4 linked regions of the Drosophila melanogaster genome follow. The protein of the gene in region 1 interacts with the protein of each later gene in a pairwise test. Each region holds a gene or a part of one and is shown on either strand. Other genes may lie near its edges.

Region 1 (8,191 bases):
GTGGGCGTGGCCGCGCCCAACGAATCCACAGCGACCCACAAAAGATCGCAGCACAGCTCGTCGAGCTGCGGGTAAGTCTCTTGAGATTACGATAGGGTTCTCTCATTTTCGGGGGTGTTCCGATCCTAAGAATCTTTTCACTGTTTGCAGAATATCATTTAGGTGTTCCAAATGAGCTAAGTAAGCTTCTTTTCATTTAGAATGCGCTTTTAAAATCATGTTTAGTTAAGCAATGTATATTCTATTTACTTTTGTATTCTTAATTGCATAGCATAGTCTTTTCACTGCAATCTGCAGCCTTTATCTTACTTATTAGTTCCCAAGATCTCGACGTTCTTGCGGTCTGACAGTCGATGAACATATTGATATGGCTAGATCGACTTGACTGATGATCCTAATCAAAAACGTGCCCGCACACTCTTTACTCTAACGGATATACAAACATCTTTCTAACTTTTAAAAACTTTAGAAGTCTTAAGTTTATTTAATTTTTGAGGCTGTTAGCTGATATGTTTTGTATTCCCTCAGAGATTATGATCTGGTTGTCGTTGGTGGTGGCATCGTCGGCGCCGCATCTGCCCGGGAGATTGTCCTGCGCCATCCATCCCTCAAAGTGGCTGTCCTGGAGAAGGAGTGCAAGCTGGCAAAGCACCAGAGCGGCCACAACTCCGGCGTCATCCATGCTGGCATCTACTATAAGCCTGGAACCCTGAAAGCCCGCCTTTGCGTGGAGGGCATGCATTTGGCCTACGCTTATCTGGATGAAAAAAAGATCCCGTACAAGAAAACCGGGAAGCTAATTGTGGCCACGGATGAGAAAGAAGTGAAGCTGCTGAAGGATTTGGAGAAGCGTGGCATTGCCAACAACGTACCGGATCTGCGAATGATCGAAGGCAGCGAGATTCAGGAGATCGAACCCTACTGCCAGGGAGTGATGGCGCTCCACAGTCCGCACACTGGTATCGTTGACTGGGGATTGGTTACCGAGCATTATGGTCAGGATTTCAAACAGTGCGGTGGTGATATCTACCTGGACTTCAATGTCAGCAAGTTTACCGAGACCAAGGAGGGCACCGACTACCCAGTGACCATCCATGGCGCTAAGCCCGGTCAAACGGTTCGTACCAAGAACGTATTAACCTGTGGCGGTTTGCAATCCGACCTGCTGGCTGAGAAGACTGGATGCCCCAGAGACCCCCGCATCGTGCCTTTCCGTGGAGAGTATCTGCTGCTGACCAAGGAAAAACAGCATATGGTCAAGGGTAATATTTATCCGGTGCCGGATCCACGTTTCCCCTTCCTGGGAGTTCACTTTACGCCGCGAATGGACGGATCTATCTGGCTGGGACCAAATGCCGTTCTGGCTCTGAAACGCGAAGGTTACACGTAAGTCTTCTTAGAGCTCATATTTAAACTTGTCTGACACTTCACTTCTTCCAGCTGGGGTGACATTAATCTTTTCGAGCTTTTCGACGCCCTGCGCTATCCGGGCTTCGTAAAGATGGCGAGCAAGTACATCGGTTTCGGACTCAGCGAGATGTCCAAATCGTGGTTCATTAACCTGCAGATCAAGGCGTTGCAGAAGTACATCCCGGATATTACGGAGTACGATATCCAGCGTGGTCCCGCTGGAGTACGTGCCCAAGCAATGGATCTGGATGGCAATCTGGTGGACGATTTTGTTTTCGATCGCGGACAAGGATCGGGAGCGCTAGCCAAGCGAGTGCTTCACTGCAGAAACGCCCCATCGCCGGGCGCTACTAGTAGCTTGGCCATTGCCAAGATGATCGCAGACAAGATCGAGAATGAGTTCTCTATCGGCAAGTGATGCCTCTATCCCAAATAATGTAACCAAAGTCCAAAACTAAGTCCTATTTTCTGTTCTGCCTTTATGTCAGTAATGTCTGTACTGATTCGCCACTATCGCATTTCTTTTCGAAACTGTAATATTGATCTATTGTGTATAAAACAAAATTAAAACTTGTGTAGGTTTCTAAGATAGCCTTTAATTCAGTTCCAGTATATGTCGGTTTCTTCTTTGAGGTGAATCATCGTCCTTAATGCCCAACACCTTAATCTGCTTCTGTAATGATTTCTCCTCCAAGGCAGATTGTATCAGTTTTGTGCACTTTTTGTTTAAAATTTTCAGACCGTTTGCAGCATGCTGACGCATTTGAGGATCACAGGATTCATCCGCTTCAATCGCTTTTAAAAGGCGATAAATGGGGAGTAACATTTCCTGGTAATCCAGAAGGTTCTCCATGCCGTTTAATAGTTCAGCTAAGACCAGGACTGCTGCACGCTTAGAGGGAACATATCCTCCGGTGGTTAATTCGCTATTAACAAGTTGGAGTAACTCGTGGAAGAAGTTCTGCACTTGAAAGGCCAAAAGGCGACAAAGCTGGGCAAGATTGGCAAAGGCTGACATCCGGAATTCGTGAACAGGAGACCGGGAGCCGTACATGAAGCAGTTGAGAAGAACAGCCTTGTATCGAAAGCAAAGAGGACCTGGATGGGATTAGTATGAAAGTTTAGGAGTTATTCTTAGCTGTGTAGAACATTGCTTACCCAACTCCTGAGCGACTTTCAGAATAGCTTCACCCACTACGAGGCGGTAGTCTAAGTGAGCCGTCTCTGATAGGTACTCATCACTCAATTTGTCCAGCACATCGGACTCCATCACATGAACAAGCGACACAAAGAGCCGAACACAATTTAAGAAGGTGTAGGATTCCTTATCCTTGAGAGTGGTCAGGGCTAACGCTATGATAAGTTGACCCTGCGCTAAGGTAGCAGGATCTCTTTTTTTCAGCAAATCAATCATCATCTGAATTCCATACACTTGCATGTGGGATTGTTTTTCCTCTATCAAGGACCGAGCTCTTTGAAAAGGTTGTATTTTAACAGCCTCACTTGGTCGCCATGCGCCGTGAATTATTGTAAGCAATGATTTTACAGATTGCTGGATAAGAGGGTTGGAAGATCGAGTACCCAACAGGTGCAATTGTTCTTTCAGTTCCTTACAGGCCTCTGAAAGTTGAATATTCTCACTGCCCTCAAGAATTTCCTGCAAGAGGTTTAGAACGAGAAGTAGGATCTGATCCGTGGTATCTTGCTCTCTAGATCGGTGGACAAGCAAGTCTTTTAGTATATGTAGAAGCTCCTTGGTATGTTGTGATAGCTGAGCTCTTAATGGTTGGTGGGCTACCATTTGGTTTAAAGCAATGAGCAAATCTAGCTTCAGTTGATATTTGGAGTGCAGAAAGTCTTTGAGCTCTGCTTCTGATGAAATAAAATCTACGCTGGCTGAAGATTTATCATTTATCTGTTTAGCTATGAAGCCCAGAAGAGAGAGGAAAACTTTGCAGGTGAGGGAATGATGAGAGCTTGATGTGAGTAGACCGGGCAATATTCTGCCCATATCGTGATCTGCTAGATGATCTTTGTGAGCTACTTTAACCTGAATTTGAGTTGTGTTCATGGAAGGCAGGATTATAATGCGTGGGTTTAAACACTTCCAAGGAGGTTCCTTCTCAATTTCCCATTTAAACAGCTTCTGGAGTATCGCAGGTAATTCGTTTTTCATTTCTCTGTTGTCCAGACAACGCAAAATAATGGCAGAAATCTGCGATGACGCCGGTAATTCCATTGGAAGGCCATCGTAGAGTTGGAGCAGCAAAGGAAGGTAGGGAACGAGTAGATTACTGGGTAAGCAAGCTACGGTTGAAGAACAAAAGAGATGCTGCCATAAGAGAATGCGATTGCACAGTTCCTGGTGATCCATTAAGATAAGGCCATTAATAATGTCTTCTGGGTTACAAAGCGTTTCCCAGTGTTTGAATAATATTTCTTTTATCAGCTTTTGATTTGTATCACTTAAATCGTAAAGTCTTCTGAGCGATAGGACACCGGCGCACATTTTGTCCGCATTCTGCAGATAGAACTTACAATATTCTAGCACCTGGAGAACCATCTTCTCTTGCGCTAACTGAGAAAATCCTTTTCTGGCCACAATACTAGCCACAATTTCCGCATTTCTGGAAGAATTCACATTGGGATTTTGATGCAGGGCCTCAACAAGACTAGCAAATCCTTGGGGTAAGTGAAGCTTTCCTAAGAGTTGACGGTGCAATAATTGGGCCAGAGTTGGGCAGAGAGTCGTAGCTTTAAAAAGCAAGATGTTGCGAAAGAAATCTGCTTTGGATTCATATTGCCAGAGGTAGGCTATAGCCTTATCCAGCAGTGGAGAGTCTTGCTGCACACGTAGACTCACAATGGCCGCCAGTAGATCCCTTTGCACCAGCTCCATCGAGTTGGCTATGTGGTATTGTCGAATATGCAGTAGATTAATAAAGAACTGAATGCTTAGAAGCATCAATGAAAAGTTAGCTTTGATTTTCCCCTGAGCCTCACAAAAGATGGGCGACTTGTAGAAATCCTCATGTAGCTGGCATCGAAGCGAGTAATATGATAATTCTTGGGAAGCCTGGATACACAATTTCAGGTGCGCTACCGAAATAAGATCCTCCTTGGCGTCGCTGTGGAAATTAATGTTCCTCATGATCGAATGTAGCACATGTTGCAATCTTATTATATAGCATATAGTACGATCCGAATCGGGATCAATACTAGATTCGTGATCGTCTGTTAACTGATATTCCAGGCACAGCTCATGCAATTGCTGACCAATCTCGAGTTTAGCATATTTTTCCAAAATTCGCAGGTTGATTTCCAAGGCTTCGGCAGTCCCTGAGTTATTCGCCGTATTTGCTGTCGAAATATTAGTATTAGGGATACTACAATTATTATATGATGTTAACCAATTTACCTAGAGCTTTACTAAACCTTAAACTCTCTAGAAGAGCAAAGTACTTGGCCGTATTTATCATTGTTATCCCAGCAAACTACAATTTTGCGAATTTAGCGACCATTTGCTAGAGATGCTTGTTTACAATTGCACCAGCACAATCGATAACATATTGATAAGGGAAACACGATGTTGGCAGCATAGCTAATTAAAACTGCGCGATAGTTTAATGCAACTGTAGCTATATGTTTTATTGAAAGTAGAACCATATTATCTTTTTAAATTGGATCAAATTACAAAAAATTGTTATCATAAAACCTATTTTGTAAACGGGGATTTCCTTGTTTTCAGAATTTCGAGATTGCAACCAACTTATCTATATATCGATAGGCGGCTGCACCAGCCGCGGGTTGCGCATCTGACTGCAGCAAAGCGCCCTGGTCACACTGGCCCAACAACTCGAGAGCAGCAGGAAAATCGAACAACTTTCTTTTTCCACTGCATTGTGTGTGTGCATGCAAAAACACAAAGTGCGCAGAATAGCTTTATTCAGCTAGCCGATACGACTCGAAAGTGGATTAATTGGCCAGCGGCACCGACGCCCCGCCCACCGTCAGCCGCCCTCGCAAAATTAAAAATTGCCAAAAACACCTACGCGCAGGCAATTAAGACCGTGTTAGCTAGTGTGCGTGTGTGCTCGCGAGTGTGTGTGTGTGTGTTGTGCTGCTGGGGCAGTAAACATTTTCTAGTGAAAATCGGGGGAAAATGAAGAAAATCCTGTCTAAGTTCGAGCGCAATGAGAACTCTCGACTGGAGAATCCGCCCAACAGCAGCAGCTCGTCGTCCTCGAACGAGAAGAACAGCTTCGTGGGCAAGGTCTTCACAGTGGGACGCGTCACGGTCACCGTGGAGGATGTCCTGGCAGAAGGTAGACGACTATATATACACTCTTATATATGTGCTCCCATTCCCCTACCTACAACACGTCGCCCGCGATTATGCTTATCACCTGCCTGATTTACAGGTGGGCAGTAGCCTGCCGTCCGCTTTTCGGTCTCGCCCCTCGTCACAGATTAGATAAACCCCTTCAGCGCGAGAACTCCCAAATGTGGGGCGTACTCAAAGCGCTAGAGAGCATAAAAATCAGCTGCGTATCCTCCATAATTGGGGACACCACTTGTCGCATTTCCGATTAAATCCAAATAAATTACTCCCAATAATTTCTGTATAAGATGTTAAACTCAAAACAGCTAAAATCTGACTTTGATATATTATCTTTTAATAAAACTGTAAAACATTTTAAATTATTTCATTAATTATGAATACTAAATACTGGTTTGTAACCTAAATTCCAACTAATTGAACTGCAATTTTGCCCTTGGCATAGAACTACATATTTATGTCCATAACTCGGCTCTCTAATGGCGTGCAGATATTTCGTCCAAATTTATGTCAGTCTTTAAAGAGTTTATTTTTGCCAAAACCAGAAATGCCAGCATTTCTATTGTGACAAATGGGTGTCCGCGTTAGAGAAACCCGACTGTACAAACACAGTTACGGTTCTGGTTGGTTTTTCCATGGAATACCCATTGAATTCCCGTAGCCACTACACATGGCCACAAATCAATTGAATCAATTATGTTAATTTAGCCAATGAAGCGGCAAGACCAACACTCATCAGCCGACTGTCTCCGACAGTCTTCCGTTTTTCACCTTTCGCCGAGCTAAATGGCAAAGTTCGCCCCTAAGGAAATCGCCTGTGCTGTGTCCTTGTCCTTGAAATGCGGAGTGCTCCACTCCACATCATCCTGCAGTGCAAGTGCCTCCTTGTTGGCCTGGCACCAGTACCCTCCGCCCAACATTTGATCATCTAACGATTGCTCACCCACCGCCTGGCCAGCCATTCGCCACCTTTCCTTTAGCCATTACGTAGTGTTTTTTACTTTTTATACTTTTGGCAAGCGGACTCGATTCGTAATTTTGTTTTGCGCTGCGCTGGCGCCGCTGGCAATTAGTCAGCTGTTGTCGGGCATACCCTGTAATTAAAAAGGCGGAGCGTTTGACGAACACGGTTATTTGGTTAAAGTTATTGAATTAGTATAACAAATTATAAACTAAATTATATATTATTTATTAATTCATTTAATCCAGTAACGTAACTATTGGTATTTCATTTAAGAAAGAGAAAAAATAAATAGAGTCTTTTGCAGATGCTCAATGAATAAAATGCGCGTATAGCCAAGTTTAAACTGCTCGATATGCTGGATACTTCCAAAGTAACACTGTGCTTAATCACCTTCAATATTTACCTGCTTTCTTTGATTCGATTTTTGAGCAGCCAACAACAATTACAAATGACTAAGCGACAAACGGTTAACGAATGAAGCTTTCCCGCCTTAACCCCTCAGCCCCCACCCTTAACCGCTTACTGCCCACCTTGCAGTTGACGCCCCTTCAGACGTATTTTCTACCCTCGTTTGCGTTTCGAATTGCCTTCTCGCGTTTTCTCGCATCGCTACAATTGTGCATTGTTATTGTTGCTTTTCATACTATTATTACTGGATGTTGTTGCTGTACTTTTTGCCAATGTTGATTTGTTGCTGTTGCAACCTTCAGCATTGATTAACATTTGACGCCATAATTTCACAAAGTCGAGCAAAAATGGTTACATTTGCTGGTCCGCTATTCACTTCTCTCTATCGCCTACACAGGGAGAAATGGTGTGTGCATTTACAGCAAATGTTCCATAAATATTTTCAATATTAAAACATTCTCCTAATCGTTGCATCGTCTATGCATCTAATGTATTGAGATCATTTTTTTTTCTAATATCATTTCATTTTATATCTAATATATATTTTTATGTTTTTTTCTTAGTGACCACTGTTCCTATCTTTTTATTTTGCCGCCCCACCGCCTTCCCCCGCTGAGTATTGTTATTGTCGCATGTTATTGTTGTTATTTCTGTACGTGACCTTCAATAGTTTAGTTTATATTGCGTTGCCTTTTTATCGTACATTTTGAAGTGGCGTAAAGCGACAGGTGGAGAGGGCTGAAATGTGGGGGCATTCTACTTGAAATTCTATTTGCAATAAACTGAAATAAACCTCATGCAAATGGCCTGTTAGGCAAAACATGTGTAAATCGTTCCATGGCCAGACAGTAACTGCTATCACTCGAATTCGGGTACCCTCTACTATTTTAACACCACGGGGGGATATTTGTGAACGTGAAATGTTTATAGTAAAGAAATTCCATTATTATCACGTAGATATATGGCATAAATTATGTGGGAAGGAATGGCCAAAGATACGTGTGCTATAAAAATGTGACACATATTTCCTTTTAATAAACAAATTAGTTTATTAATTAGCTACTTCCTGC
Region 2 (7,968 bases), on another chromosome or scaffold:
GCACGGGGGAATTTTCCAGCCCACCTCCCCCTTTGTTGGCTGACTTTCCCATGAAAAATAAACAAGCGTTTGGCTCCGACAGTCGCCAAGAAGTCTGCGACGGGCCATGGATTTTGCTGTTGCTCTCCAACTCACCTGGCTGCCCCACAAGGTGGCAGCAGTGTGTTGCAAGGTGCACTGTGAAAAACGGGGGCTGTTTGGCTATGTTAACAATGAATGCCTCTTCGAAACTCTATACGTTTGTGAATCGCCCCAATGAAATATAAACTAACCCAACTTTAAATTGCTCTCGTTTCTCGCAGTGCAGGTCCTTGGGGAGTTGTCAGGATGTTGCCACTGCCTGTATTTTAATAATGCATCGAAATGAAAGTGGCTGTCAACTGGAGATTTGACAGCTGCTTTATGCCGGCGACAAGGATCGATGATGGAATCGCAATAGAAGGTAATAATGCCCATTGGCATCCTGTCAGGTGCGTAGACAGACTTGCCACAGATTATTTCACTTAGCTCCCTGGATAATGTGAGATAATTAGGCGGTGGACTGGAGAGAGGTGAGTGGAATGGAGTCCACGGAATCGGCGGCTCATTAGCACATGGCACTCGAGGAATACCCCGTGGTAGTCCACACTTACTCATAAATGCCATAGATCTTTTCGGGGGCCACCAGCTGGCCCACTTGATGGCATAAACAGATTGCATGGGGCTCGCTTTGAAGTGCGAATTACCCGCGGGGTCAACCGCAACATGCATGTACGTATGTACATATATACCTCTTTATAACTGAACAACAGGGCCGTGAAAATGGAAAAGTTGGGGGAAAATGGATGAAAATGGGGGAAAGATGGGGCTTCGGTTTCGCTTTTGGCCGTAATACATCTTGGAAATCTGTTTAATGGGCCGCACGGCCACTTGAGAGGCTTTTTGAAGCTGTTGCTATTTTAATGTGGTCGATATTCTAAATTTAAACAAATAAACAAACATCCATTGCGCTGCTGTTGAAAGTTTATTGTTGTTAAACCTGTGCAGCAAAACTGTTTGATATTCCTTTACGTTTGCCCGGTTGAGTAGCCGATAATTTGGCACTTAAAACGTGCGAAATTCATTCACATTTCCATTTCCACTTGATTCATTTTGGCCGGGAAACCAATCAATGTGAGTGCTTGGTTTATGTTTTTTTGTTTTCCACACCCCGCCTCACCAAAAACATCCGCCCAGCTTGGCTTTTCCGACCGACTCCAGCCACCTCAATCCGCCTAGAAAATCGAAGAAAACTTTTCCTGCGGCTGGAAATCAATATGAGTAATACGAAATAATAATCCACGAGATTCCCGTGGTTTGGGGGCCACTCGAAAGCCAGCCATTCTCGATTTGTGTATAGATTGCTCTTTTTGAAGATGCCAAATAGCTGCGAAGGCGAAGTTATCACTCAATTTATAGGTTTTTCAAGTGCAAATGAGGTGCTGTCAGGCGGGAAATGCTACAAATGATTCGAGTTATTCGAGTGAATTAAAGTTGGGCAATTTGTAATCTCATATTTTAGATACAATTAATTCTTGTTTTCTCAAACATATATATAAATTCTTGGTTATTTAAAGATTTCAAAGAATATTTACCTTTTAACTCCTTCAGCGAACATTAAAAAAAAAAAACCAAGAAACCGCCCAAGTCTGCAAAACACAAATCAATTGCAGTTGCCAACAAACTCAATGGCTAAATAAATTATGGTTTTCGCTTACCGCTATCGACTTCAAACCCGCCATTAATTAACACCAACCCTTTTGGCCAAGGAGCTGAATCGAAATGGCCGCGATTACTCGAGTGTCCAACACCTGTTACCAACAAATAAGGAGCGCAGGGTGGAGTAAACTACCGCCGTCACAGGTCAACAACCAGTTTATTGCTCACGCATTTCATTTCAGAAATCTTCTGGCGTTCCGAAAGTCATCATTATCATCGAGGATGCTGGCAGAGATTGGTGGAAGGGGATGCTGGAGATGGAGCTGGAGCTGTAGCTGGAGCTGTAGCTGGTGCCATGCAACTAGTGTCAAGAATCGCATAAATTTCCGATTCCGGGACGCCGAGTGTGCCATTTAATGGCCGGCAAAGGTCACGTTCACACCGCCGTAATGGCTAATGGGCAAAGAGCGGGTCCTGACAATTCAGGTAATGTGGATAATTTGCTGTCAATGATGTGGAACGAAGGGGCCCGGCTCTCTCTGCGGTCCTCGCTATTTGTTGTCAAACAACACGGCAGCGGCATCATCTCGGCATCTACTCCTCTTAATAGTCCGTGCTGCATTTTACGGCGACTATAAATAGGTTCTACTAGATGTTAATGCCTTCCAATAAACGCAGGCTCATGGGGCATGTGGCATGCGGCATGGGGCACCCCATCGATTTTTGACAAATCACCGCTTGTCGAGCACAGCCACAAATCCATGCTGATCGATGATTTGTTGTCTTTGATCTCGGGAGCAAGCCACAGTGGTGTCGAGTGATTAAATCAAATTTTGACAAGGTGTCGACTGGCGGCACTCCGAGTGTATTTGCCGCAAAGTGTGCCTGAAGTTGAAAATCTTACAGTGGAGCTTCATAAACAGGCACTGTACGGGGAGTACCCAAGTACCTAAGTTTGGCTAACAATCTTAACACAGCGGATTTGAAGTAACTAAACTTTGAGTATCTTAACATGCAAAAGAGTCGAGCGATGTAACATGTCGCTTTCTCTCGAGGCTCTACTGTAATGTATCTCAGCTAAATGCAAGCAGTTCACAGCATAAATCAAGCGATGACAACGTGAACAACAACACCGGTAGTCACGCACTAAACTATAACTATAACTACGCGATTACACACAGCGATTAAGTTGCGGTTGGGGAGCTGCGCTGCGACTAAATAAACAGGATCCGAGGCGTTTTATGGCTTAGTGCGAGGGATATGTCAAAAAAGATGCGGTGAAATGCATAGGAAAACATAGTTTCACAACGAAAAACATCGATCGGTGTTCGAAGACGAAATCAGACCAAACCGAGCTGGGCCATAAAAAACAATATTTGTTTCCAATACTATTCCCAGCATAGGTCTAAAAATAAGCAAGCTAAACACGCAGGGCAGCGACATCTTCGAGAGAATCGGAGGACCATGGGCCATAGGATAACCCATTGTTTTATGACCCATTCTCACCAGCGGTAAGCGATCGTAAAATTTGAATAAATCGGGAGAGAGCGTGAAGAATCCTTTGTGGCATTGGCATCATCCACACATGTGAACTTCAATTGCTTCGGGCATTTTGGATTTTCAGTTCTTCGATTTGCGTTCAATGTTTTTATTTCTTTCAAATGATCTCTGCTTTCTACTTGAGAACGGAACGATCGTAAAAATCGAGCGTAGTCCTGTTTGAAATGTATACACAATTGTTTTACGACCTTTTAAGATATAGACCAAGACTTTCGGTTGCATTCGGAAAATTGCGTACTTGACTGCCGCGAGTTTACTCTCGCTTTCCTTCGTTCGCTCGGAAAAGTCGTAAAAATCGGAAGGCAACTGCCACGAGATAGCATGGGATGTCAAGGGACCAGATAATGCCGACTTCTGGCATTATCTTGCCAGCTGCTATCCGGTGGAATGTATAAACGGAGTGCTTCTTGGAATCGCTTTATTTAAATAATGTTTACAAACCAATTGAACTGACGAGTTATCAAAGCTCTTTAGTGAGTGCTATCAAGAGATTTGAAAGTTATAAAATGATTAAACATCTAAATGAACTTTTTCAAGCCAGAAAAAGGCTAAATTAGTGACTAACTCACGCAATGATTACATACATACATATGTAACCTATCATAATACTGCAGTATAATCTTTTTTAATAACTGGGACTAACGATGTACGCATGAGATCCTAGAAGCTTTACATTATTTCCAAAGATTTAAAAATTCCCTTTCAAGTGCCCGTAATTCAAGTGTAAACTTTGCTCGATTTTCATTTGTTGAAAAATCAAAATCTACATATTATTCAAAACACACTGGGACTCTCCCACACTCACTCACACATGGGGAAAAGGTCTTGACTCCGCCCATCGAGGAAAATACAGGCAAATGAGAATGGACATAAATAAACATGGAAAGAGTAGAGAACATATTTGTAGGAACGCCCCCTCAAAAGAGAGATCTGCCATATAACGGGTATATGCGAAAAAGATATAGTATAAGCAAGGATATTAATTAGTAATGATATAATCAATCTAAATCTAGTACTACAAAGTTAATAACTGAATACACTTAAATATTAACAACATCATCTTATTATATTATAACATAATAATCTCAAATATATTATACTTATTTCATATTTCAATTTATTCAATTTCTTCCTTAATAAAATTTAAATTTTTCAAGGAAAATTGTTTTCCCCTCTCTGAGAACTTACGCATGTGTGGATCTTTTGGTGAGGGTGTTTGCATATCCCTATATTTATAGACCAATGCGCTGCTCTCCCCCAAAAACACACACCCATAAGATTGGGATGAGGCATTACAAGTGATCTGCGTATCCGAGTTCATTCATTAGTCGATCGGACTTCTTGGCTGACGCAACACATGGTCCACAGTCGCGCTCGAATCGCCCACAAAATCGGAAGTAACAGCTAACCGGAAAACAGGACAAAAATCCTAAATATCTAACAAGTTAATGTGAAGTGATATTCGAAACAAAGTTCCCGAAAGATACATAAAGAGTATAAAAGAACTTTGAATCAAGTTACTGGGATTTCGTTTTGAAAAATGTTACCCTCTTGCTATGCCAATGGATCGATGCTGCCGGATAATGAGGAGCTGGTCAACTCCATGCTAGCGAATCCGGATTATCTCAGGACCCAGGTGTCACCCAATCCGCTGGCTCCAAGTGCCGTCGGAGGTGCGGGCATGGAGGGTCTGATGTGCGGATCGTTTTCACCGGCCTTCTACTACCAGGGCATCGATAGCTTTCTGGCCCTGCACAACAACATCTGGGGATTGCCTATATCCTTTCTGCACAACTCCCATCGACCGGAAAAGCCTCCTTTCTCCTACATTGCCCTCATCGCCATGGCCATCAGCAGTGCACCCAACCAGCGACTGACCCTCAGTGGAATCTACAAGTTTATCATGGATAAGTAAGTTAATTGAACAATACAAAAATACGAGATCTTTGATAGATCAATAAGTGAATTTAGTTTGTAAATCAGCAAATAAAATTTCCAATTTCTGTACATATATTCTACTAAAGCTCTTGTTTTTACAATCCTACAAAAATAAATGTTCCGCCTTGTCTTAAATCGAGGAAAATTTAGATGACATTCTTGGCTAAATCAAATGCCAAAATAAACAACCGCCACATTCCAAGTATCTGTACAAACCAAAGAAGTTTTTATCCCGAGAAGAAGTTTTTATCACGAAACTTTTGCCACAACTGGGATTAAGTCGGTGAAATATGGAGCATTAATCCAATTTCTTAATGTGAAAATATATAAATATCACGCAGATTACTTGGTAATTATCCATATGAAATGGTTTCATTTATTGGCTTAAATTTATTAGTCATATCTTTAACAAATATTAAAATATATATGTATATATTTCCTTTCCTGAATGAACAGAGTGCATAAAAAATGGCGGCCAGATATATAAAATAGATCGCAAGTAATTTGAAAAACAGGAAAATGAACAATGTGTTTGTAAACTAAATATTTCCGATTTCTTTATCAACATAAACAAATATTATTTTTATTGCTTTTTCAAATCGCTTGATTTAAACAAACCAGCGGAGGATATAGATATGGGCTAATAAGATGTGTATCAACAGCAAGTTTTTCAGATTGTAAAATGATTTTTATATATACAAATTCAGATATTCAAAGCTGTGAAATTCTGAAGTAAATAGTTTTGATAAACACGCATTCGATTTATATTTATAAAATATCTTTTCCATTGTTAATTTATTGAAAATAAAGTATATATGTTTACCCTTTCAAAATTTGATAAAAATGTCAAGGAAATATAGCTCCTAATTAATTAATTAATTGGATAATATCCAATTATTTTTTAGATTCCCATATTACAGGGAGAACAAGCAGGGCTGGCAGAACTCCATTCGCCACAATCTGTCCCTCAACGACTGCTTCGTGAAGATTCCGCGGGACAAGAACACAATCGAGGATAACGACAGTGCTGGGAAGGGAAGCTACTGGATGCTGGACTCATCGGCATCGGACATGTTCGAACAGGGAAACTACCGCCGGAGGAGAACGCGCAGGCAGAGGCACTGTGGCCATCCAAATCGCTACGAGAGGGAATCGGGAAAGGTATAATGCACATCTAAAAACTCATAAACAAATCGAATAAATGAATTTATCTGCAGGATTCAAATGATGGCAACAGTAGTGCAGCAGAGATTCGCTCGCCCAGCGAACCGCTGAGTGACTTCGATATCTTCTGCAACGAGCGGCCCAATTACTCCGACAGGATTACGGATCTGCACAGGCAGTACTTGTCCGTATCCCTGGGCTTCAACAGTCTGTTCAACAACGAGGCCCGCGGACTCCGACCACTGCCCGAGATCAGGGAATGCCCAGACGATGTGGACGCCTCGTCCAGTTCCAGCAAAGCAATGCAAAGTTCCATGGAACTGCACGAGGAGCTACATTCGCCGAGCGCCTTTACTCCTCCTCTCAATCGACGGGAAACCTCGTCATCGGGTGCACCTGTCCTTGCCGAAGCTTTTAATGGCATCAAGGATGTGGTGGATGCACCTGGGAGCAGTCCAGTGGCCAGCAGCAACCGATCAAAGACCACGCTGTTTACCATCGACAATATCATTGGCAAGCCATAAGCAATGCACCTCTTTTGGCTTAATTATCTTAATTTAGTGATAAATATTCTTGCATAAAATACATAAAAGTGATGGAGTTTTAAAATATAGATTGGTTTGCATTGGCCGTTTTCTAATTGCAAATTGAGAATTGAATTGAATTAAGCTAACTTCTTTTTGGCGGTAAATTTCAAATATGAAAGTAGTATTTTAGAGTGACCCTGCACTCTATGGCATATACTAATACGTTGAACTAGTTCCATTCAACAGGGTGAATATTTAGTATTTGTAGCCGTTACGAGCAGCGGGAAACACAGCAACACTGAGTAAACATATGTTTTTGTAGCGTAATATAAATAAAATAGCATAACACAAAATGGAATTTTTACACGAATCCGTTGCACTGGGCGTGGATCTGCTAATACTTGGCCTGTGTGCGCGCGAGTACGTGCACTACAAGCGAACTGCCAAGGTGCTGAAGGTGCGTATAGAAATACTAATGCACGTAATAAGTGGCGTTTATTGAGTGAACTGCTGCTTTTCAGGCGGCACCACAATACAACATCGATGGAGACCTAAAATCGGTGGTGGAGCGGCAGCGCGACAAGAAGATACCATATGCGGTAATCCGGGGCACAGTGACGCCCATCGGGGTGCCACTGAGGAGCTCCCTGGTGCCCAGTGTGAGTGGAGTGCTGCAGATTGTGAAGCTGCATGAGCACAGGGTAACGCGCGGATTCGCCGGCTTCTGGACGGAACAACACAAGTTGCTGCACGAATCCGCCAACGAGATGCCCTTCGAGTTGCGTAACCAGAGCCATGGTGTGGAGATTGTGGACGCCTTGAGTGCCGCCGTCTTGGACGTGGACGTGGTCTACGACAACTACGAGCCCTCCAATCTGTCCCTCTTCGACCATGTGTTTGGTTTCTTCTCTGGCGTCCGTCAGAGGGGATTGCAAACGACGGAGGAGGTGCTCAGAGAAGGCAGCTTCCTGACCGCTATTGGTGAACTGGAGTTGGATGGCGATACTCTGCGCATGCAGCCCTCCAATGAGGGACCGCTCTTCCTGACCACTGCCACCAAGTCCACGCTTATTAAGCGGTTCGAAGATGCCAAGACAACGAC
Region 3 (7,864 bases), on another chromosome or scaffold:
GCTTGGATCACCCGGCGGGCTCATAAGTGTGCCCCTCAGGTGGAATAGTCGACTCGAAGTGACTGATCCGATCCCATTCCATTCTATACGATCCACTCGATCGAATGCCCCTCCTCGGCGGATATACACACAAGTATGGATATGGATATGCAGCCCTCGGATCGCCAGCATTCGACTGGCTAATTAAAAGCTGACCATGTCAGTTGGACTCAAATGTGAAGTGCGGTATGCGGCGATAAATAAGCCGGCGAGGACAGAAAACTCACTCGCTGAGCCCAGCGACCGCCCAATGCGTAATTAATTCCTTTTCGAGCGCAGCGCGAAATTAAAAAGTCATGTAAACCAGCTCATTAAAATAACTAAAATGAAGAAAAAGGCCAAACAGCTAACCAGAACCACTGGGCGGATGTCGGCCATAAAAGCCCGTCAGATTGCCGGGCTGCGCTGCTCCTAAGCAGCTTTTCCACATCACAAGGCCGAAAAAGGCCCGAATATTATGAGTTATAGGATCCGAACCCTATCGGGATCCCCCTTCCACACCATTGAAGATCCCTCGGCTGCCGAGGCGTAATAAAATCAACGCCGTCTCATTATTTCAAAGGGCTCGCGCTGTGCCCATCGCTTGTAGCTACAAGTGAAGCTCATAATGTAAACAAATTAACAAAAAGGGAGCCAGAAGACCCAGCTGCACGTGAAGTTGCAGATTCAGATGGAATACAGATACAGATTCGGATACGGATTCAGAGGACCAGCGACAGATACAGATACAAATTCAACTGCGCATGCGCATGCAAATAAGAAGGCGCATCTCATTCCTGAGTCGCTTCTGGGCGGCGGCTCAGCGTTAAGTTTTTAACTTAAGCTGCGATTGCGCATTTGAAGGCAAACATGTTTTTATACTTTAGCATCCCAAGCTCACCAGAGTGAGTGTACACTGAGCGAAAATTCGTATTATGAGACCTGTGTTCTAGCCTTAAGCTGTTTCTTACCCACAGAAAATACCATCTAATAGACCATCGTAATTATATTATAAGGAAATATGTAAGTAAGCCCTTTTAGACCATTAGACAACGTTCTTCGCACCTTATTTTCAACAATGAATATACAAAAATATGTTTTATCAAGAAGTTTAAAATTATGTTCCTACACCCTATTGCACAATTGAATGCATCCAACTACGCGTTATGTAGGCACATATATAACATTTTTATTCTTAATGTTACCAATTCTTTTATTTCAAATGCCACATTTTCTCTTGGTGCACGAATGTGTTGGCCAACAATGACATGCCGATAGGCATGTTGCCTTAAAAGTCTTCTCTGATCGTGCTTATTTGGGGAACAGTAGCAATTGCCACCGCGGGTCATTGGAGGATCGCTCCCCCGAAAGATCTCGGCGAACATGGGCCATCCCGACATGGGGGCCCCGAATGGGTTGGATTTGGCAAACCCTCTTGACTTCGCTGCTATTCACTCACCTGCCAACCGATCCTTGACCGCCTGATGTGCCAGCGCCGCGTGATGCAGTGGCGGTAGTGCCCAGGTGAGCGGCGTTCTCTGGGGCGGTACACGTAGCACATGACCGCCGGCCGCTGAGGGATAGAGATGCGGATACGAGTATAGTGCTGCGGCGCTTCCGTATGTCGAGTTGGCGATGCTGGTGGCCAGCTTATAGGCCAGGTCGTGGTCCTCCTGCTGCAGTAGCTCCTTCTCCTCGCCCTTTTCGCCGCTGTTGTTGTTGTTGCTGCTGGAGCCCGGACTGCTGCTGAGCAGGTGGTTGTTGTTGTTGTGGTGGTGGTGACTCGTCTCGAAGGGCTTGGATAGCAGGCGTGATATGCTGAAGGGCAGATTCTCACTGGACGAGGAGCGCGTCTGCTCCGACTGCAGGGACTCGCTGGGAATAAAAACCGGAGAAAAGACATCAGAATCGAAGGGAAAGAAGCCCTCTGGAGGTGCGGGCTCATTAAAATGTGTCGCCCGATAAGCGGGAAAGCCTGAGAACATTGACTATAATTAAGTCTGTTGCAGTGCGTACCAGTCTCGGAACCACTAACCAAAAGCCCACGCGAGCGGATAAGCCGAGTTGACGACATGACATGCAGAACCCGTGTGGCCACCGCTGCGTATACGCAATGCGGCTGGAAATGAAGTAATTATGCAAATGCTGACGGCCGTTAGAGGCATTTAATACGCGCCCATAAATCATCAAATGCCATCAACTGACGCACCGAAAACAAGTCACGCACGGCATTTAATTTATAAATCCAAAAAGTAAAAACCCATTTGGAACAGGAATGGAATTGTATCGGAACAATGATCTCAAATCGCCAACCACCGACACACAGACACTTTCCAATATCAAAAGTTATGAGCAAACACATATTATTTCACTGGCCAAAACTTGCTGCTATCTGGTGATCTACATTCGCTGGAACGCGGGTTTTATGGCATTTTTATGACGATCTCTATTAAAATGTTAATCCGACAAACGATTTCGTCTTTGTCCGGCATTCAAGCCGAAGATCCAACTCCAGATTGAGCCCCAAATGGACCCCAATGTCTTATCACAGCCCGTTTTTGGCGCCTTACTAATGTGCGTTTTATCGTCGTCGTCTATTGGAAACCCTGGCCATCCGTGAACTATGTAAATTCAGGGAGTTTCTTTGGCACTTTATGGGACATTTCGACTTGATTCTTTTGGTGGCTTTGTGGTCAATTCATTAGCGTTTAAGAGGTTTGTTCACACTGTTCTTCTAAGCGCACAAACGCTTGAATGGGATCAGTTAACACGGTCTGCTGGATGCTCTGGCATCTTGTTATCCCCTTTTGTCGCTGGAAAATGGGACCATTTGTAAGAGCGGACAATGGGGCTTAAACATCAACGCATTTCAATGGCGTTGAGCCACGATTCGAAAAATAGGATTTGTGAGCATTATGAGTGACAATGTTAAAGATCGTAAAACAGTGGGAGTTATGAGCTCGTAATAACAAATGCAAATAGCTTTTCTCCGCCACAATACTTGTTTGACTTTTATAGGGCAATAAAATAAGACTGTATGCCAACTATTATAACTATAGCTTATAGATCTTTTTCTCTCAGTTAGTCGATCAAATTGCTGTCGATCTAAATTTTGACTTATGAGTAATTAACGAATAATGTGGCCAACTAAATCAAGCCCAGTACTTACAAAAAAATATTTATTAATTTGCATGATGATCATAACCATCAAGAGTAAACGAAAAACTGAGCTTTTTCTTTAATATATTTTTTTTGGGGATTTTCCGTAATGAATTGTTTCAGACCAATTATTATGTTTGTACATCGTATAATTTGAAAGTAAAGCCATTATTATTATTAATAGAGATGCAATCTCTTTTCAAGTTTAGTGTAGCAGATTATTTACGATACAATTAAACCAAAAATATTTTTTATTGTTCGATTTTGCAACGTACATAAATTCAGACGTTATTCATATTTGAAAAATATTTACCAAAATGAATTTTAAAAAAAAAGGCCTCTTCAGTTTTAAGTAAGTAGTACGGAAGCCAAAGCATTTTATCACAATCTAGTTAAAAAAATAATATATGTATGTATATGTAGAAGTCTTATTGTAATTGGAAGATCTGCTTATTTATGGTATATCTATACTGATAATATCTATATTTTTGGGACATTTTTCCTACTTCCTGGTTCTATTTAAAAGCTCTCCTTCTCACCTCAATGGCGTTTCGGACTCGTCGTAGCAGCTGCCGCCGTCCATATCCACATCGGATCCGCTGCCACATGACATCCGCGAGTCCGAGTCCACATCCACGTGGATCTCCTGTTCCTCCACCTCTTCGCCGTGCTCGTTCTCGTGCTCATGGTCATCCTCCTCGTGGCTGGACATTTTGGCAATTAGTGGCGCCAATTTGGAGCTCGCTCACTGCACTTTTCGAATCTTATTGGGCACTCTTTTCTCTTAATAGTTAGATGTAGAGTGTTTCAACCGCGAAGCACACACTAATCGTCCGATTGATTTCAATTCAGTTTCCGCGCTTAAGCACTACCCGTTGCGGGAAATTCCAACTGAGAACTGCTTTGGATTCACGGATTACGGTCTACGGATTAAAGTTTACGGATTACGGATGGCGAATTGCGAGCTGGGAGCGGACGCGTGCTAGCGGGCGAAAACGCTTTTCATAAATGCAATCAAATTGTGCCGACGGCCGCTGCTCTGCCTGCCCTCTGCCGACTTGGCTGCCTCTGCCGATTGCTGGTGGGTTTGGGCTGTTGGAGTGAGCCGGAAACAAGTCAAACCAGTTGCCCGACGTCGACGCCGCTGCCGACTTCCTTCCTATTTCGGTTAAGAGCCAGTTTGCCACCTTGTTTGAACCTAACCTACCATAATACCAGCAACCTGCCTCTTCTGGTTGGTCCACCCTTGAGCCATCCATCCCGCTCTGATCGCACATGCGCCTGACTGCCTCTCGCTCGTGGAAACAGGTTTCGCTCTGCCCGCCGATGGGCAGCACTGGTCGGTAATTGAGCCACGGGGCGTGGCCTCGGCCAACCGCCATTGGCCGCTGGCCGGAGTTTGCCCCACACACTTGCCACTCTCGACGTCCACTTCCCGCTGGCAGTTGCGACGACATTTTAAATGGAAAACGTTTTGCTTTTGGGGTTTTTTATTAGACGAGAGCATGAAGAGAATGTATTTTTATTTCGATTGTTTCTATTTTCAGGTTAGCCAAGCGTTACCACTCTGCCTCGCTCTGTCTCACTCGCTCGCCCGCAAATCACCCCTGCAGAGCGAGTCAGCCAACTGACGAGCGAAAGAGATCACATCCGCCCGCCGACTCTTTTCCGCGGAAGTGCAAATGTGGCAGATTAATAGCACAATTGGAAATAGCGTTCTGTCAGCTTGAGTTCACAAAGCAGCGGATTTGGCCAGGAGGGCTGCCCTGCACCACCGCCTAATGTCACCCCTCACCACCTCACACCGCTTACTACTGAGATCTTTATTAGCGCCAAGAGTTCTACGCGCTATCGCCTGGCATTTGGCAGGCGGCGATTGCGATAAGCAGACTCGAGCTGAAGCCACAGGAATCCAATCCATTTGCCCCGGCCATGCGAATGCAAATTGCGCGGCATGCAGTGGATGCAGCAGCTCTGGCATTTTCCACAAGTTCACCCCACGGGTTAATTGACAGTTTTTCTTGGGCACGAGCCATGTTACTGCTCATCGCTGGCCGGGATCTCGGTCCTAGTCTTAGTCTCAGTTTCAGGTGTTGTTCTAGCCGGCCTGGATGGAATGCGTGTGTGTGGCCAGAAGCGATTGCGTACTCCGTTTTCATTAGCTGAGATAGCTGAGTCGAGATGTGGAATGTGAACCCCTTCAGAATAAGGCAATGTTATGAAAATCCCAAATCCTATTTGCGATAACTTGGATAATGCATTACTACGCTTAGGAGATTCGCTACTGGTCAGAGGATAATTATATCTATATTTCATAATAAAGGGTTACTATATCTCTACTTGCACAGTTTGGTTACTCTTAAACATGATTTGCTTTAAGGTCTTATATTGTACCTCACAAATACTATTCTGTGATTTAAAAGAGTGCCAATGTATGTACATATTGATCACTGGTTTTAAGCTGCATATGCAGCTTTTTGTTCAATGTTAAATTATGTTAGTTAATTATATCTACATATCTTTACCTATCTTTATAATATCATTATTCATAATTTGATTATTATTCAATTTTTCTTGAGAGTGGGCTGCAGAATCAAACCGTTCACTTTGCATTTAAACGGAGTCCGATCCTAGAAGTAACGACTATAAATATTCATTTCTGCACTTAACTGGCCATGTTTCTGTGTCAGACACGAGCAAAAAATCATGGCCAAAAATGAAGAAAGGCAATTACTGCATATTCAATTGGCAAGGCACACAAAAGCACACGCACACCACTTGGCAGTGGAAAGGACTCTGGAAAAAGTCACGAGGCGAACTCCATTTCTCTTCGTACCGCCTCGCAATGTCATTGTTGCTGTTTTGCTGCTGCTGCTGGCAGTCGTTGGTTGGTAGGCCTTGTAGTCGGCTAATTGGATTTCATTTGGGCAGAAACAACGCAGAAACAATTGCCGTAATAAAAGCAACAAAGATAGCAACAACAGCGCCCCATCCACGGCAATTGTAATGCAATTTTAATGCAAAACGAGAGGCGGCCAACATTTTTATTGCATTTTTACTTTTATTTCACTTAATAGCAGGCAACAACAATAACTGCAGCGGCAGCAACGACGAGGAATTGGTGCTTGGTATGAATACGAAATGATGAGGCTCAGACCACCACATCGCATTCATGCAGGGGCAGGAGGAGATGGCTAAGAGGCTGGTGGTGGTGGTTCCGATTCCAAGATGAGAACGAGATGACGGTGGGCGATGGGCGGTGGCAGGGCTGTGGAAAATTAGTATGCAGCGTCGCACTGCAGTCGGGTGGCAGACAAAACAGCAACAACCAGAACAAACTTAGCCTAAGTGTATCTACACAATCACTGGGAGAATAGGTTGTGTCTTTCAGATTATTGGTGAAATTCAATTAACTTTAAATCAGTTAACTGCTTGTCGACTTTCTGTGAAAATCCTTATATTTAGTTGTAGGATATTTTTTTAGTACCCACCTAAAGGATCACCGATTTGGCGTACCCGCTTGGTCTAAAACCTTGGAGCTCCAATCTCATAGCTTTATAGGGTAAGGATACAGGATAAAACCAACCTCTGGAATCTAATTGTTATCTTTACAGTACTTTTGGAGTTTTAACTTCTCAGAGCTGAATATTCCTAATAATCAATGTCTGAAAAAATATAATTTTATAATTGTTACCGAAGGTAAAACCAAATTAGTTGGAATAAATGCCCGAACTTCTTTCAGTGTATGCACTGTAACTGGTGCAGCCACAGCTTCAGTCGTTGCCACTTGACTTTATTGGCAACTTCATGGAATATTCAGCAGCAAAGTTTGGCGCAAGTGCCTCCGAATAATACCGCCCCAGGAGTCGCTCCAACCGCTCCTGCCGTTCGAAATCCTGGCAGTGCTGCCAACCTCATTTGGTATGCATTTTTATTTGGCTCATATACAAATGGCGGAGCACGGCGCGACTTTGGTTCGCCGTTGGGGTTGGGGGATGTGATCCAGATTGGTGTGACAGCGGGGCTTGTGGGGGTTGCCGAGCTCTGCAGACCAAGTGTCACTTAAAATGCCAATACTGATTATAGCCATCTCTTGCGCTCCCTCTCTGACTTCAGGCATCTGTCTCACTTTCTCTCAGGATGGCGCAGCAAGGATTTTATGTGCGGTCAGGGCTGGGCTATTATTGGTGACAGTTTTACCTTTATGCGAATCTAAAATGCAAACATACCCGGGAATACTTTGTATGAATACCAAAGACATCGCCATATACGGGTAGAGATGGTCCACTAGCTAATGAATAAGGAGGGAATATAGACTAATACCTTTCCTTCCCTAACTCCTAAAAAACATATCTAGTTTCAAGCTTTAAGGTTTTTTAAATCGCATCTCAAATAGCTATCCATACTTTGTCAGTACCTCACTAAATACTACCTTGCCATCACTGCTATCGGTATCTCGATATGTGGGTTGGTTCATTCGGTGATTTCCCTCAACGCAAGGAAGGGTGCTATCCTTGGTGAAATCGAACTTAAGTTCCTTTCCAGAGCAAGGCCGTCGTGATTGTTTTTTGAAACTCGATCCGTCTGTCCACACTTGACTTCGATTAGGCCAGGCTGCCCAAAATGGCTTGAATGCGTGTGTTTTTGTTTTAGCCAATTGGCCACACAATTTGCCAACCAATAAATT
Region 4 (7,175 bases), 9.2 Mb from region 1:
GTCTTTGAATCGAATTCCATTTTGAACAGCGTCCAATTTGTGCTGCAGGATACTCCAAAGGAAGATATCACAAATACCTTTCATTCCAATAGTGCTTTTCAAGTGAGTTGATAGGATTCCAAATTGTAGTCTCCTATCCTTTTTTTTGCTATTATCCTTAGCTCATAATTTTCCCCCAAGAGGACTACGCCACCATTCAGTCTACGACTTTGGGAGAGGTGCTGGTGGATCACTACAGCATAGTGGAGATTCCCATCCAGCCGATGTTTTTTAGTTCAGGCGATGGGGTTCGCGGAGTCCCGCCACATATACGACGTTGTTACTATCCCGAAGAAGGCATGCGGTTGCTGAACCAGTAAGTAATTAGAAACCAATCCGCGGAATACCTGGTGAACATCGTTCCTACAGATCGTACTACTCCCTGGACGAGTGCCTTCTGGTATGCCGCATGAAGAGCATGATCGATCATTGCGGCTGTGTATCTCCGCCCTTGACCGGCAGTTCCATGGATCTCGACTATTGTATGCTTCCCGATCTTCCATGCCTAATGAGATGGAAGAGCATTTGGTATGGCTACAGTGACTTCGCCTACCTGCAGAACAAGGAAGAGAACTTGGTCCAGAGGCAGTGCGAGCACTGTTTGCCCACCTGCAACGGAGTTAGCATGAGTATCACCACCAACGTGGCTCCTTTGAGACGGACTTATAATAGCAGTGGTTACTTTACCGGGTTGCTGTAAGTGATGTACCACAATTTCTTTGATAAATAATGAATATCGAATATTTTAGAAAGGGATTGACCAACGAGCGACCATTAGCCATTATAAAGCTTTTCTTTAAACTGCGCTTTGCCCAAGCCACAAAATCTCAAATGGTTAGCAGTTGGGTTGTTCTGCTAAGTGAGTACAGTAAATAACTAAGACGAGTAGTTAAAAAATATTAACTAACCCTTTAGATCGCTTTGGAGGCATTCTCTCGCTTATGTACGGTTTCAGCATAGTCAGTTACATAGAGATCCTGTACTATCTTACAGGCAAAGGATTTGTCTACATATACAGGTCATTCTTATTAGATAAGGAGCCTATCAATCACAACTATTCACTTTACTGGCGTGAGCTCCGTAGCAATCTGCCAAGACAAGAACAACTTCGAAAATAATCTCACTCCGCTTATATTCTGAGCATAATACATTGTATATATAATTCGGTTGGCGCATGCTCACAAAAAATCAACAATAGAATGAACTTATATCAAAAACCGTATATAATGCAAGCCATACATCGCCGAAAATCGGTCACTGTCCAGTTCCTCATCCCACTAGTAGTCGTCGCCACGGGAAACGACTTCTTTGCAGGTGGGTCGCAGCATAATTGTGTGTTCGTACTGAGCCGTGTAGCAGCCCTTAATGTCGCACAACGGCGGATAAGCCTCCACAATGCCCTTGTCGCACAGATCCTTGAGAGCCATCTGGTACTTCGTGGCACCGGCGCGGTCCAGCCAACGCTTGCAGAAGGCCAGGGTGCCGAAGTTTTTGTTGATGGTGCCAAGCAGCTGCTTGGATGACTGCAGGCGCAGCGGCACAAACGGCAGATCAAAGTTCTTCATGTAATGCGAGCAGTCCATATCGTCATGGACCAGACCGCGACCCGTCGAGCCGAACGTCTCAATGGCGTAGAATTCATCCTCCTCCATGCGAGTGGACTCTCCGCCTTTCACAATGGGCACCGTTTTTCCAGCATGAATGCCTGAGAATTTAATTTTAGACTTCATTAAGTGTTTGCACAAATCACAATAAATTTAAACAAAAAATATTAAGGAAAGCATAAGCATATTTAAAATATTTATAATAAATAGATTTTTGCTTACGGTACGGGCTGATGGAGTGTCCATTTAAGTTGCGAATCGCCTTGATGGGATATGTTTTGCCGTCCAACTCGATCTCGTACGACTCCATGACCTCCTGGATAGCGGCGCCGATGTCGCATAGGCGCACATCGATGCCCGCCTCTCTGATGCCCGTGTTGGTGGCCTCCTTGACGGCCTGCAGCAACTTGTCGTACTTGTTGTTGAAGGTCAGGGTGAAGGCGCAATCAATGATCCGCCCCTTGATATGGGTACCAAAATCAATCTTGCACACATCGTCGTACTGCAGTACAGTGGGGTCTCCGGCATTGGGCGTGTAGTGGGCGGCGCAATGGTTAAGAGAGCAACCAGTCGGGAAGGCCAAACCAGCCTCCAGACCATTTTCGCCGATCAGGCGCCGAGCAGTGTTCTCCAGCTCCTCGCAGATTTGGATCATGGTCATGCCCGGCTTAATGTAGCGCTGCATATACTGACGCGTCTGACGATGGGCCTCAGCCGCCTGGCGCAATTCCTGGTAGATGTCCGTGTTGATACGGTCCAGAGCACGCTTCTCCTCCGATGTGAATCGGTCCTTGGCCGTACGATCGTCGGGCATATCCTTGGGCGTGGGGTGCTCCACGATCTCGCCCTCGGGGAAGTTGCCGTCCGGATAAAGCTTAGCAATGGGTATGGTGGGCGGATCAGTCTGACCGCTTTTCTTGCCCTTGTTCCCCTTCTTCTTTGCCGGCTGAGCGGCCGGTGTTGCCGGTTTGGCATCTCCGTTTGTGGTCAGCTCCTCGTCGCCGCCTTCTCCGGAGGCTATTTTGGCTGCCGCTTCTGTGGGCAAGTGGTTAGTTCAGTGGGTGGTGGGTGGTTGAGGCGGAGAGGGTCGTGCAAATGCAATTACCACAGTGCACTGCTCGCATGAGGTCACTCACCTTGGCGGAGCTTCTTGTTGTTCGGCTTGGGCTTCTTTTGTTTCTTGACCTCCTCGCCGATCTCGGGCGTTGCCGCCTCCACATTCAGAGTCTCGGTTGCAGACATTTCGCAGTGCCTTGGTTGCTGGCTGAACGATGAAATAAACGAAAATGTAGCGCGCACTCTTGCCTGGCGATGGCGATGCGGAGAAAAGAACAAAAACACGAGGTGTCAGAGGCCAGTGCTGTAAAACGTGCTGTGGACTATCGGAACCAGTGAATGTTCAATTTGAAATTTACATAATTTGACTTTGAGCACTAATTTGAAGAAAAAAAAAACACTACAAAAATAAAAGTTTATCGAATATTGTATATTTATATATTTATTATTTATTAAAATCTCAAAGCCACCTTATAAACAACTATGATATACCTTTAATATATTTAATCCGATATTTTGAATTATATTCATCTATTATGTGGTGCGGAACTTTTGAGTGTTGCAAAAAGCGAATATGGTGCAACTCCATCCCTGGTTGATTTTGTTTATTATTCGCTGGTGCTTTTCAAATTTCATTTAAATGGACGAAATCCTCTTTCCCACGCAGCAAAAAAGCAACTCCCTAAGCGACGGCGACGATGTCGACCTGAAATTCTTCCAGTCGGCCTCCGGCGAGCGGAAGGACAGCGACACCTCGGATCCGGGAAACGATGCGGATCGTGATGGCAAGGATGCGGATGGGGACAACGACAACAAGAACACGGACGGAGATGGTGACTCTGGCGAGCCGGCGCACAAAAAGCTCAAGACGAAGAAGGAACTGGAGGAGGAGGAGCGCGAACGAATGCAGTAAGTTAGCTTAAAGCGATTCGAAGGGGTAATCCTATAAAAACTATTTTATTCCACTCCAGGGTTCTCGTTTCCAACTTTACGGAAGAACAGCTGGATCGCTACGAAATGTATCGTCGCTCTGCCTTTCCCAAGGCCGCCGTCAAGCGTCTAATGCAAACTATCACCGGCTGTTCCGTGTCCCAGAATGTTGTGATAGCCATGTCCGGCATTGCGAAGGTCTTCGTCGGCGAGGTTGTGGAGGAAGCCCTCGACGTGATGGAGGCCCAAGGTGAATCCGGTGCCCTGCAGCCCAAATTCATACGAGAGGCAGTGCGACGACTGAGGACCAAGGATCGGATGCCCATAGGCAGATACCAGCAGCCCTATTTCAGACTGAACTAGCGAGTCGAGACATTAAGAAATATAGTTTGTAAGGCTGTTAGTCAATATAAAAATACATAAACAAGTAAAAAGTAAATAAATATAAAGATTTTTTTAACAAATCCCATATAATTAATTTTCTCTATTACGAATAAATTCCGAAACGTGTTTTTATAAGGAAATTTATTTTTCTTAAATGTTTTTGACAGGTCCGTATGGCGTTAAACCTTCATCTACATCAATTTTATGTAGCTTATTTACGTTCAATGTTATTTAATTAATCCAGTCATTAAGTAGATATTATTATGTAGTTGTCATCCCATTTGTTGTACAGTAGAATACGCATCCGTTTACAAAAGAATCTTTATTGAGTGGGATCGCTAAATGAATGTGTTCCGAAGTTACTCCATTCGCCGGGCCTCGGCTTGCATGGTCTGCAGTACGATGTGTGGCACCAGGTGTGTGGAGGCGTAGTTCAGGGGCACCGTGGCCAATGGCGCTGAGCCGTCAGATGGGAAGTTGAGCTCCTGTGCCATGGGCATGTCCCTGTCGATGACATCCTGGGCGATCAAGGTCTTGGTCTCCTCGTACTCCATGCCCGCCTCCGGCTTAGCGCCCATCAAGAGTTTTCCGCGCTGCACGCCCATGTACTGGGTGGCCTTGGCATTCAAAGGCAACTGGCCGCAGGTATCGGCATGCACCTTGCGATGTGCCTGCAAGTTGGAGATGCAAGTGAAGCGCTTGCCGCAGTTATTGCACAGGAAACGCTTAATGCCCGTGTGCACGGTCATGTGGGTGAGCAGACTCTCCCTGTACGGATACTCCTTGGGACACAGGTGGCACTTGTACGGCTTGTAGTCCGTGTGGCGCGTCTTCAAGTGCGACTTGTATTGCGCCTTCACCTTGAATGTTTTGCCGCACTTATCGCACTGGTACGGAGTGTCTGCCTTGTGAAGGAGCATGTGCGTCTTGAGAATACTGCGGAAAGGAAGATGCGTTACTAACAGTCTTAGAATAAACATTCAAACACAAATAGTTATTACCCAGCGGTGGACAAATGTTTGCCGCAAACGCTGCAGCCGTAGAGCGGTAGACGGCCGCAGTCAGAACGAACGTGGTCAGAGAGCGATGTGCGTCCGGTGAACTTCTTGCCGCACTTGTCGCAGATGAGGTTGCGCTGCTGGCTGCGCGGCTCCTTCTTCGAGTGGAAATTGCGTTCGTGGTTCTTGAGGCTGTCGTGTCCGGTCATGTACTTGTCGCATTTTTCGCAGTAGAGCAGTTCCTTGTGCTGGGCCCTAGCATGCTCAGTGGCCTGTTCCTTGGTGGCGAAGAAGAGGTTGCAGTAGCATGGGCACTTGAAAGTCAGCTTGCCATCTTCGCCATGCACCTTCATGTGGGTGACCAAGCGCTTCTCCACCAAATAGATCTTGCTGCATATGGGACACTTAAAGACTTCCTCGTCCAGCTTAGCATGGACGTCCACGTCCTTAAAGATCTCTTTCATTTCCGCCTCATTTAACTTGTGGTCGTCGCGCAAATGCTTTTCGTAGGGCTTGCGGATGTGGTAGATTTTTACGCAGTGAGGACACTTCCAGGATTTTTCCATCTTGTTGATCATCTTAAGGCGCTCCTTTAGCTCCTTTTTGCTGATCTTAGCTACGCGTTTTGGTGTACCCGATGAATCGTCAGGCGAGGGCGATCTAGGTGCGTTTCGTTTGCGATACTTTCTCTTGACCACAGGTATCTTTTCCTTTGGCGGTCTGCCCCGCTTTCTTGGTCCGGGAGGTTTTTCCATTTGATGACCCCTCAGTTCTAAGACATCTTCTTCCGCAACCTCCACTAGCGGCACGGCCGCGATTTCGTCTAGTATACCAGCGCCCTGTTCCACCTTTAGGCTCTCAAAGGGCTTTAAGCCATCACCCTCATTGAGCAGCACATCCAGCAGCTTATCCTTTTCGTTGCTAAAGATATCGGTGCTTTCGGTCTTCACATACATGCTGGCGTCCTGGTACTCGAAATCTTCTTCGTCGAAGGCCTCCACCTTGACCATAGCCGGCGGAGGAAGCTGGAATCCGGATGCATCCGCATCGTCCTCACTGTTGTTGGGTTCGAAGTCGGGACACTCGTCGCCCGAGTCCGAGTTCTGGCTCTCCTGCTTGAGCTTCGTCTTCAGACGACTGGCCAGAGGAATGTCATCATCGCTATCTTCCGATTCTTCGCTGGTGGTATCTTCATCATCAGAGTCCCTGTTTCTGTCCTTCTTGCGGAAGGCCTTATGTTTCTTCATCCCATCGGATGAACCGGGCGAATCGTATTCCGGCTGTCCACAGGTGTCGGGACGACTGCGTCGATGCTTGGATAGGTTAGAGGCGCTAGAGAAGCGGGTGTAGCAGCACTTGCACTCCATTGGTCGGGATTCCTCCTAAGGAAGAGAAAGTAATTATTATTAATATATTTACAAACGGTTCCACTGTTTCGGTTCTACTCACCCTGGGTAGCTTTTCCTCGCCACACTTGGTCCTGCAGTGGCGACGGTATGCCTCCTGGTACTTGTACTCCGCGCCGCACTTTTCACAAACGAAAGGCTTTCGCTCCTGTCCAGCTACCGCGCCAGTGACTCCGTGCTCATCCTTTGCATGCTGGGTGAGCTCCTCCTCGTGGCAAAACCGAGCATCGCAGTGACGGCACTCGAAGCCGCCCGGCGGCTGGTGCTTCTTTACGTGCTTCACATATCCGGCTAGGGAGACCAGCGCCTTGTTGCACACCGGGCAGTGCAGCTTGGGTATTCCGTCGGTGGTGATCTCCACCAGGAGCTTGGTGGCTGCAGCCGCCGCACTGCTGCTTGGAGCCATCGACTCGGTTTCTGCGAGTGGGGAATTGAGATTATAGCATGTTGGGGCGAACGTAAACAAATGCAAATTTGATTTTCGGTTGGTTTGGGTTTGTATGCGCCTACCAGGGCTGGGTCTTTCAGTTCTGTCTTAAATGCACTTGTCGCAATATTATTGTATTTATATTTATCATAGGGTTTAGTAAAGAAGCTGCATTGTGCACAATAATAATAACTATGTAAATCAAATTAGATCTAGTGACTTCCGTTTTTTCTATTTTTTCGTTTTAAGCAAACTATCAAATTTTATTATTATTCTTTTGGTTACTTTAATTTTTATAAGCAGCTTCTTTCTGATAAATTATTAATTGACA

What was found.
Region 2: the proteins of Tango6 (region 1) and FoxL1 interact in a two-hybrid assay, tested with the Drosophila melanogaster proteins (one large-scale study listed by BioGRID).
Region 3: the proteins of Tango6 (region 1) and C15 interact in a two-hybrid assay, tested with the Drosophila melanogaster proteins (one large-scale study listed by BioGRID).
Region 4: the proteins of Tango6 (region 1) and und interact in a two-hybrid assay, tested with the Drosophila melanogaster proteins (one large-scale study listed by BioGRID).

Annotation. Positions count from the first base shown.
Region 1 is NT_033779.5:18,965,797-18,973,987, reverse strand, and holds Tango6 (transport and golgi organization 6), read right to left. Parts: upstream 4,961-8,191; 5' UTR 4,890-4,960; coding exon 4,829-4,889; intron 4,771-4,828; coding exon 2,569-4,770; intron 2,509-2,568; coding exon 2,006-2,508; 3' UTR 1,984-2,005; downstream 1-1,983. Other genes in the region: L2HGDH (L-2-hydroxyglutarate dehydrogenase), read left to right, coding at 1-71, 529-1,386, 1,441-1,828; Nak (Numb-associated kinase), read left to right, coding at 5,573-5,735. UniProt on the Drosophila melanogaster protein: May be involved in protein secretion and Golgi organization.
Region 2 is NT_037436.4:4,014,317-4,022,284, forward strand, and holds FoxL1 (forkhead box L1), read left to right. Parts: upstream 1-4,561; 5' UTR 4,562-4,777; coding exon 4,778-5,148; intron 5,149-6,080; coding exon 6,081-6,336; intron 6,337-6,392; coding exon 6,393-6,863; 3' UTR 6,864-6,963; downstream 6,964-7,968. Other genes in the region: Mul1 (mitochondrial E3 ubiquitin protein ligase 1), read left to right, coding at 7,219-7,323, 7,388-7,968. UniProt on the Drosophila melanogaster protein: Transcription factor. Coordinates the placement and migration of various organs during embryogenesis, including the salivary glands, hemocytes, germ cells and Malpighian tubules.
Region 3 is NT_033777.3:21,496,283-21,504,146, reverse strand, and holds the start of C15 (C15), read right to left. Parts: upstream 4,162-7,864; 5' UTR 3,890-4,161; coding exon 3,717-3,889; intron 1,894-3,716; coding exon 1,478-1,893; intron 1-1,477.
Region 4 is NT_033779.5:9,759,339-9,766,513, reverse strand, and holds und (uninitiated), read right to left. Parts: upstream 3,146-7,175; 5' UTR 2,886-3,145; coding exon 2,780-2,885; intron 2,679-2,779; coding exon 1,866-2,678; intron 1,745-1,865; coding exon 1,317-1,744; 3' UTR 1,176-1,316; downstream 1-1,175. Other genes in the region: ppk18 (pickpocket 18), read left to right, coding at 1-102, 162-355, 409-735, 789-898, 955-1,157; Taf11 (TBP-associated factor 11), read left to right, coding at 3,340-3,608, 3,671-3,992; zf30C (zinc finger protein 30C), read right to left, coding at 4,373-4,949, 5,015-6,393, 6,461-6,834.